Linked DNA regions of Coturnix japonica. The protein of the gene in region 1 purifies or fractionates together with the protein of each later gene. This does not show direct contact. Links are inferred from orthologs where the notes say so. Each region holds a gene or a part of one and is shown on either strand. Other genes may lie near its edges. The genes, in order: TEPSIN and AP4S1.

Evidence for each region.
Region 2: the proteins of TEPSIN (region 1) and AP4S1 purify together in Homo sapiens (co-immunoprecipitation; 3 studies listed by BioGRID and IntAct, with this or other methods). This does not show direct contact. The link is inferred for Coturnix japonica from reciprocal best matches to the Homo sapiens genes TEPSIN and AP4S1.

What each region holds. Positions count from the first base shown.
Region 1 is NC_029533.1:5,094,641-5,099,208, forward strand, and holds the start of TEPSIN (AP-4 complex accessory subunit tepsin), read right to left. Parts: upstream 2,997-4,568; 5' UTR 2,931-2,996; coding exon 2,889-2,930; intron 2,738-2,888; coding exon 2,665-2,737; intron 1,997-2,664; coding exon 1,905-1,996; intron 1,819-1,904; coding exon 1,725-1,818; intron 1,586-1,724; coding exon 1,518-1,585; intron 1,403-1,517; coding exon 1,324-1,402; intron 1,026-1,323; coding exon 954-1,025; intron 847-953; coding exon 640-846; intron 532-639; coding exon 357-531; intron 112-356; coding exon 1-111. Other genes in the region: NDUFAF8 (NADH dehydrogenase [ubiquinone] 1 alpha subcomplex assembly factor 8), read left to right, coding at 3,304-3,384, 3,472-3,582, 4,073-4,093. UniProt on the Homo sapiens protein: Associates with the adapter-like complex 4 (AP-4) and may therefore play a role in vesicular trafficking of proteins at the trans-Golgi network.
Region 2 is NC_029520.1:30,851,182-30,855,653, forward strand, and holds the start of AP4S1 (AP-4 complex subunit sigma-1), read right to left. Parts: upstream 2,981-4,472; 5' UTR 1,813-2,980; intron 1,689-1,812; coding exon of another isoform or gene 1,374-1,688; exon of another isoform or gene 1,181-1,373; intron 1,147-1,180; exon of another isoform or gene 1,050-1,146; intron 1-1,049. Other genes in the region: STRN3 (striatin-3), read left to right, coding at 1,374-1,688. UniProt on the Homo sapiens protein: Component of the adaptor protein complex 4 (AP-4). Adaptor protein complexes are vesicle coat components involved both in vesicle formation and cargo selection. They control the vesicular transport of proteins in different trafficking pathways.

The DNA.
Region 1 (4,568 bases):
TTAAGGAAGTGCTGTGCTTCCTCCCTGGTCAGGAAGACCCTGGCTCCCTGTGTCAGTGCTGATACCAGGCTCACCTCCCTCAGGCAATCACCCAGGCTGTCAGCATCCACCCTGCAAAGGGAAAGCATGAAGACAGAGACAGCCCTGCTCCGTCCTGTGCACACAGTGTCCCTGCAGTCAGCTCTATGTGGCTGAGGGCTGCCCAGACCAGGAGGACAAACACCCCCAGAGGAACAGAGTCTGTCAGCTCCAGGAGATGGAAAATACAGTATGGGAAACAAGGGCAATGTACAGATGGAAAAACCATCTCAAAAGAACTCGGAGCAATCGAAACATGCCTTGTTCTCCATTCTTACCTCTCAGCCCCGCTCACCAGCTCCCGGCTGGTCCCAGAGTGGCTGTCGCTGCCTGATTTACTGTAGGTGTCTGAGGTGCGGCTCAGGTCACCATTCTCCTGTGAGGAGTTCTGGGAGCTGTGCCCACTGTCTGCCTCCTCCCAGCCGCCCCCTGCCAGCCCTGGTTGATGACTCACTGCAAGCACAAAAACAGCAAACCAGGGAGTGACATACTGGCCCCAGAAGGAGACAAAGCAACCCCAAAACACAGTGGGGTGGGCAGCTCAGGCAATGGGAGAAACACCTCGGGCAATGTGAGCTGTGGTGGCTGCTGGTGGATTGGTTGAGCTGGCCAAGCTTCTGGCAGGAGAAGGAGCTGTCACAGGCTGGTAGGTGTCTTCATGGAGCTCCCCACAGTGAGAACGGGGTCCGTCCAGTGAGGGAAGCACAGCATTGGCCACAGCTTCAGCTGCTCGCTGGATGGTGCTGAGCAGGGCTTCACCTGCTGAGGCTGGGAAAGAGCCTTAGGAAGCTGAGAGCCCAGCCCAAGGGCTCTGGGGGCAGCACCCATATGCAGGGTGAGGGCAATGCCCAGCAAGGGTTTCAGATGGCACTTACCTGAGCTGCCTCTCTCGCTGCTGAAGCCAAATCCTTGCATGGAGCTGCAGGGACTGGATTTGGAACCCATGCCTAAGGGAGGTATGAGGCACAGTCAGAAAGAGCAGAGGCATTTTGGGTCACTGCTGTTCCTCCCTCAGAAAGCACAGCAGAACCTTTGGAATTGCCTGGAGGAGCAGGGAGCCAGAGCAATTAAAAGAACACTTATGGCAGCCTGTTCCCCTGGGTACAATTCTCTGTCCAACACAACACCCTCAGCCTGTAACTAGCAGAGCTGTGGGACATCAGCCCTAACACACCAGCAGGCAGTAACAGGGGCCAGACCCCTGCAAGGCACTGGAGCTGGAGGTACAGCACAGCCTGCACTTACCTGCAGGATGCAGGGGACGGGCAGGACACGTGGCAACCGTTGGGGGCACAGCATCCGAGAAGAGAAAGCTGGCCAAGTCCTGACAGGAGAGAGGGATGTTTGAGAGACCTGGGGAGCACCAGACATGGGGAGCAGGAGCTGCTCCAGCCTCCATAGCAGTGCACAGGCACAGAGGACACGGGGCCAGCACTCACCTGCGCAGCAGCCCGGACCTTCTGGTTCAAGCTGTTGCCGTGGAGGGGGTCTGGGGGCCCAGTGAATGCTGCAAGGCACGAGGTGAGGCAGCCTGGGGCTGAACCCGGCCTCAGCCAGCACAGAACTGCACCAGGCCGTTCTATAGAGCCACAGGAGCACCACACACAGCCCTCCCCACCCCCTGCCCTACTCCTACACCCCATTACCTGCAGCTTCCCGAATGAAGGCAGCGTTCCTCCTCAGCTGCAGCACGAATTGCGGTGAGCCCTGTGCACACGTGTGCTGCAGGATCTTCAGCACCTGACAAGGTGTCACGGGCCCAACATTGGGGTGAACTGCCCACCCCACAGCTCCATCAATCCCCCCAGCCCACAGCAATGTCGTACCTTCAGCTTGACGTGGCAGGAGCCGCCGCGCAGCCGGCCCAGCAGGAACTCCAGCAAACACTGACTGCTCCCTGCTGACTCACGGGAGATCTCTGGGCCGTGTGTTAAGGATGGATGGATCTCACCCCATTGCTGTCCCCATTATGTGTGTTAGGAATGGATGGATCTCATCGCATTACATGTGTTAAGGATGGATGGATCTCACCCCATCATTAGGTCCATGACGTGTGTTAGGGATGGATGGATCTCATCCCATTGCTGTCCCCATTATGTGTGTTAAGAGATGGATGGATCTCACCCCATCATTAGGCCCATTACATGTGTTATGGCTGAATCTCACCCCATTGCTGTGCCTATGACGTGTATTAGGAATAGATGGATCTCCCCCCACTGCTGTCCCCATTACATGTGTGTTAGGGATGGATGGATCTCACCCCATTAGGCCCATTACATGTATTAGGGATGGATCTCACTCACCCCATTGCTGTGCCCATTACATGTGTTAGGGATGGATGGATCTCACCCCATTGTTGTGCCCATGATGTGTGATAGGGATGGATGGATCCCACCCCATCATTAGGCCCATTACATGTGTTATGGCTGGATCTCACCCCATTGCTGTCCCCGTTATGTGTATTAAGGATGGATGGATCTCACCCCATTACATGTGTTAGGGTTGGATGGATCTCCCCCCATTGCAGTCCCCATGACCCGTGTTATGGCTGTCTCTCTCTCCCCCCATATCTCCCCATTCAGATACTGCTGATCTCCTCCAACACAAACCCCGGGCACGGCTCCTCCTGGTCCGCAGTTCCCCGCAGTAACACCGGCAGCTGAAAGGAGGCACAGTGAGAACCCAGCGATCCTAAAAGGCCCCACAGAACCGCCCCCCCCATCACCCCGAGGGATAATCAGTGACGTCACGCCCCCCACGGTGACGTCAGTCCACCCCCTGATGACGTCATCCCCCATCTCGGCCCGTACCCGGCTCAGGAAGCACAGCCGGTCCCGCAGCGGCGCCGCCATGACAGTCCGCTCAGCTCCCACCCGGCCCCAGAGCGGCCTCAAACTTCCGCCCGCAGGAAGAGGCAGAGCACCAATGAGAGAGCGAGGTTCACAGGATCAGCCAATCAGCGCTCAGAATGGGCGGAGCTTCGGGCGGAAGTGGCCTACGGGACTGACGCCGGTAGCAGGAAGTAAACAACTGTCCTCTTAGCCAATCAGAGCTACAGGAAGCTGGTCAGGAGGCGGGTGCTGCGCGCAACCAATCCACACCACCGGATTTTCAATCCAGCCAATCCAAGCGCGCAGAGCGCTGACAGACGCAGCGTTCCTCCTATCAAGAGGCGGGCAGCCAACAGCTCTTCCGCCATCATGGCGGCGCCCTGTGCATGAGGTGATGTCGGGCCGAGGCGTTTGGCTCCGGGCTCGAGCGCGGCTGCGGCGCTTCCCCGCTGTGTTGGCGGCGTGCGGGGAGCAGGTGGGGCCCGGCCTGGAGCACACACCGGGACACATGGGAGCCATGTCGGGCTGTGGTGACTCCGGTTGTTTCCTGTCCCCGCTTTAGGCCGCAGCCTACGGGCGGTGCGTGGCCGCGGCATCGGCCGGGAACGCGGAGCTGCGACGGGACGCGTGTGTGAGGGAGTTCTGGGCGCTGCGGGAGTGCTGCCATAGAGCGGTACGGACCAATATGGGACCGGGATACGGGGCTGGAGCAGCGGCACCACGGGGACAGGATGAGGGAGATGGGTGTGTTCAATTGGAGAAGAGAAGGCTGAGGGGTGACCTCAGTGCAGCCTGTCAGTACCTGAGGGGAACTTACTGCCAGGAAAGGGCTGACAATAGCAGGACACGGGGAAATGGTTTGAAGTTAAAAGAGGGAAGATTTAGGTTGGATGTAAGGGGGGAGTTCTTCACTATGAGAGTGGTTAGGAACTGGAACAGGCTGCACAGGGAGGTTGTGGATGCCCCGTCCTTGGAGGTGTTAAAGACCAGGTTGGACGGGGCCCTGGGCAACCTGATCTAGTAAAGGTGTATGTTTGGTGGCCCTGCCAGGCAGGGGGTTGGAACTACATGATCCTTGAGGTCCCTTCCAACCCGGGTCATTCTGTGACTCTGTAATATGGGGATGGAGGAACCGGGACCAGCTCACACAGGTCAATCTGCAGGCGGCGGCGACGGCAAAGTGATGAAGCTGACCGAGGTGATGGAGGTGACCGAAGTGATGGAGCTGACAGCTGGAGCTCAGGGTTGGCCTCTATTACAACCCCAACCTCAGGCTCCTTCACCCCACGCAGCTTTTCCCCATCAACCCGTTTATTAAAGCACTAAAATCAGATCGAAATGCTTCAGCTTATTTTATTGATCCGCACGGTTCCGTCTCCCACCAGCCCCGCTACAGACGGTCCCTGTTAAGGAACAGCCATGCGCTGCCCCTCCTGGGCTGCTGGGGAATGGCCGGGTATCTTTGGTCCTCTGTGTTCATGGAGACAAATGCCAACAAACCCACGATGCCACGGAGACGTTCAGCAACAAACCCACGTCACCAAATGCATGGCAGCACCACGGGGCAGGAGCGTGTCCTTGTCCTCGGGTGGCCCCAGCACTGTGAGAAGGGAAGGCTCCTCCTATAGAAAGGCCAGTGACAAAGCACACTGCAGGCTC
Region 2 (4,472 bases), on another chromosome or scaffold:
AGCCTTACTAATCTGGGGAAGCCAAGGAGGAAGGAAGCAGCTAAAAAAGTTTTCCTTTGCAGAGCGGTTGTCAGCATGCTGCCTGAATATAGTAACGGAGCTAAACTGCAGCACTTCCAAGGTAATGGGCAATGAGGAATGTCTCAAGGGCTGGAGTAAAACAAAGGGCCAAGAGGACTGTGAGGTAAGGGGCAATTTTTGGTCACGATTTGATACTGTCTGGGGAGAATGAAAAAATCTGCTGAGGTGGAAAAGTTGGATTCAGACAGGCTGATCAGTGTGGAAAAGGGAAGACTGAGGAAATGATGGTAGGAAATGACTTAATGGAGAAAAGTCGGATAGGAACTGGTAAAACAACTGAAACAGCAACATGCACCTGAGGTCAGCAGAGAGGAAATGCCAGCACTGGGACAAGCAGGATTTATTTTTCGGCATTTAATACAATTACAGCACTGTCAAGAACGAGCCCATTAAGGACACCATCCATGTTCCACCCATATATACAGCATATGCATTTTTAGGGAAGTAAAACCGAACCCGTGTGTTATTTGTGAAGGGGCGGCCTACAGATCCACCAGGACGTGGTGGGCACTTGGTAGCGCTGCATTTCAGGGCAGTGCTGTGCAGCCCAGCTTTCACCACGTCCATGCTGTGCAGCCAACCCGGGCTGTGCTGCCATGGCACACCAAACCTGCTGCTAATGTGCGCGCTCGTTCTTCCCATCACGGAGGGGAAACATTACACAAACCCCTCAACTACAACAGCACGAAGACGACCTTCATTACAATACAATTAGGATCGGGCACCGCCAGAGCACTTTCAGCCAACCTGTTCTAGAACCACCTACTTGTGAGACACACCGAGCAGCGCCCAGCACAGCCCGGCGAGGCACAACCGGAGCGGCCTTACAGCCCCTCCCAAAGCGGCCGCCCCCCGCCCGCTCAGTGAGCAGTATCGGTATCGGTATCATCAGTATCAGTATCAGTATCAGTATCAGTATCAGCCCGCACTGCCCCTCAGCGCAGCCCCCCCCAGGTCACGGCGCTCACCTCCCCCAGGCGCATGCGCGCTCCGCCGCCTCGTCGGGCCGGGAGGAAGGAGCGGAGGGGAGAGGGGAGCGAGTTCCCGGCATGCCCCGCGCGCCGTGCCGCTCCCCCTTCCCGTGTGGGTGGGCCGAGGCCCGGCGGGCTGTAATGGCGGCTGGCGGCGGCTGGGCGCTGCTCTGACACCCGGATACCGCTCGGCGCGGCCCCCCGCCTCCCCGTACCCGGCCCGCCCCCTCCCGCCCGCCGCAGCCAGCGCCGCTCGCCCCCTCCCCGGCCCCCGTTCGTGGCCCCCCGCCGCGGGACGAGAAGGAGGGCTCCCCGCAGACAATGGACGAGCACCCCGGAGCCGGAGGAGGCGGCGGGATGGCGGCCGCGCCGAGGCCGCAGCAGCCCTCGCCGCAGAGCGGGGGTAACGCGAACCTGCAGCCGGGCGGGGGCTGCGCGGGGGCCGGAGCCGGCGGCGGAGGGCAGCAGCAGCCGCAGGGCCCCGCGGCCCCGGGCGGGCAGGAGGCGGCGGGCCCCGCCGAGCTGTCCCGGCCGCAGCACTACACGATCCCGGGGATCCTGCACTACATCCAGCACGAGTGGGCCCGCTTCGAGATGGAACGGGCGCACTGGGAGGTGGAGCGGGCCGAGCTGCAGGTACGGGCCCAGGGTGGGCTCCGCGCGCGGGGCCGGGACCGACTCGGGGTCTCGGGGCCGCACGGGAGAGCGGGGCCGGCGGGTCGCCAAGGCCGGGGCGGTCGCTGCGGGACGGGAGCGGTACCTGCGCGAGGGCCGGACGGCGAAGCGACGTCGCCGGGCGGCGGGGCTGGCGGAGGCGCGGCCGCTCACGGCCCGAGCTGGGCTCCCTTCCCTGGGGCAGCCATTTTGGTTTTTAGCATGGCGCCCGCCTGGGCTGTTGGCGCCGGAGCCAACCCGGCTCCGCGGGCCTCGAGGGCCGCAAAACGCCGGAGGAGGGCGGGCGGCCGCTGAGCGCGCTGATCGGTCGTGCGGGGCAGGGCCCGGAGCGCCCTGACAGCTGCGGTCCCCTCCCCGAGCACAATGACTCGGGGGCTTTCGGAGCCCGGCCCTGCTCAGCCCTGGGTGCTGCTTTGGGAAAGCTGCGGCCCGCGGGCGTGGAAGGATACGGCTTCACCGGAGCTGAGCGAGCGGCTCCTTCGGGGTAGCGGGGAGGCGGCGGTGCCTGCCGAGGTGGGAGAACGCTGAGAACGGGGTCGAGAAATCTCGCAAGCAACGGACTTGACCGGGTTCTCACGGTGGAGACAGGTCGAACACATGCTCTCTTTCCTTCCTTTTTGTTTCTTGGGAGACCTCACGTGGGAGAAGCAACTGCTGAAGAATAGTGAGGAGCTGATGGGTCTGCAGTGTGATCCTTGTCCTACAAATACAAACTCTGTGTCAGGAGCAAAAATTGAACAACTCTAGAGGGCAGGGAGCAAGTGTTTGAGTTCCAGCATAGATCTCTGGCCATAAATGTTTGCTTTTCATAATGGAAAAGATCTCTTGTATTTACGTGTTCATATAAAAAATAAAGCCACGCATCACAAACTTATGTTCAGTTTATGAAATCTACAGAGTCTGAGGCATTTGTCTATAAGTTGTGCATTTTTTTTTCTCCTATGAAAGCATAACAGTTAAAATTGTTTAAAAAAGAATGTTTCTTGTTATGATTTATATGTTGGGTGAATGTTTGCAGTCTTGAAGCAGCATTCCATCAAATCACGCCTTACCTGCAGTTTGTGGAAACATGCTGTAGCAGCAGCCAGTGTTTGTGATGTACGTCTGTGTACATCTTGATGTATGTCTGTGTACATCTTCAGACTGTAGAATGGAGAACTCTACCTAAACCTGGACAATTCTTTCAGGATTTTTCAACTCTTAGACCACATGTGTAATTTGCAGGGTTGTTGTTGTTACAGCTTGAATTGAGATAGAATAAAAGAAAACAAAACATCACACCTTCCCCCTCCTCCCCCCAGAAAAAAATAAATAAATAAATAGTAAGAGAGATTTTGCTATTTATTTCACTTACTGCCTGATTTACTATTTTAAACCTTTCAGAACAGCTGATCCTAAAATCACTGTGGTGGAAATGGGGTGGGTATTTTCAGTAGCAATGGACTTGTTCTCATATCTTCTGTAGCGTCTCAGTAGTATAGTACTGTATTGATAGGTAAATAAATAGCTCAGTGGTGTTCATTATCAAGCAAGACCATCTTGAAGTACTTGTTTTGTGTATAGGCTTGTGACTTCACAGTGAAGTACCTCGTTCTATAAATGTAAGGTGCAGTTTTGAGATGTTGAAAACTCTGACTGGAAGTGCTGGTGTGAACTCATGTGGCCTCTAGATACTGTGATGTGTTTCTGCCAAGTCTGCTGCTTTTTTTTCTATGTAACTGTAGTTTGTCATTCACAGCCACAATGTTTCATTTGCTTGTTACTTAATCTGCCATCCTAGTTCTGATCCTGGCTTTGTATGTGTTGCTTCACTCTATCTGTGTGTGTGCATTAGGTCATGGGAAGCAGGAGCAGTGCTCCCTGCCCAGTGTGTGTGTATGAGGGGAACTTTTTTGTTTTTTTGCTGACTTCAGAAGCCCAGGATAGAAGTGTGATCAGGAAGGAGGCAGGGAGAGTGTGTTTCCTTTGCATGTTAGATGTCAGCCTTCATAGTGATTAAGTTCAGTATAGGACTGTGTTAAGCGTGTTCTTTTGGAGGACGTGCATGAAAACCAGGCCCTATGGTTTTCATGTATGTGTGTGTATGTTTATAGCATATAATTACTTTTTGGTCCTACAACTCAAGTAATGAAGTCCCAGTTTATTCTGTGACTAATAAAACATTTTGAACCCCAAACAACTGCTTTGCCCTTTGAAGCCTCTATGACTGTTGTTCATCTGTGAATGCAGCCTCCTGAGTTGAACAGGAAAAAAATCTGGTAGCATGACAGTAGTAATTAATATGGAAGCTAGAAGCATGAGAACTACATTTCATAGATGCAGCTCTCACCCATGCAGGTAGTTTCTTCCTTCTTTAGTAATTAAAGGTCCCTTCCTAAGTTGACTTGATAACTTTGCAAATAACACTTTACAAAGAGTATGTGGAAAACCAAATGACTTAGCAGAACGTTGTTTTATTTTCTTGCTCTGAACTTAAGATTTTTTCCAGACAATGGGATTTTTATTGGCAGTTTTAAACCGGTGGGAATTATTGAGTGATTTTTCCCATCTCTCCCCTTCTGTCCCCTTTGTGGTTCAGGTGACTGGTAAAGAGCCCTCTTTACAAATGGGGGCAAGGCAGGTGGGCGTATGGTCTGCCATAAGCTTTTGTTTGGTTTTCTTTCTTGGATCTTGTAGTGAACTTTTAGATTTCTTATAGTACTCATGTATGGAGCACATCTTTACAATTAATTTCAGTTGCAAGTT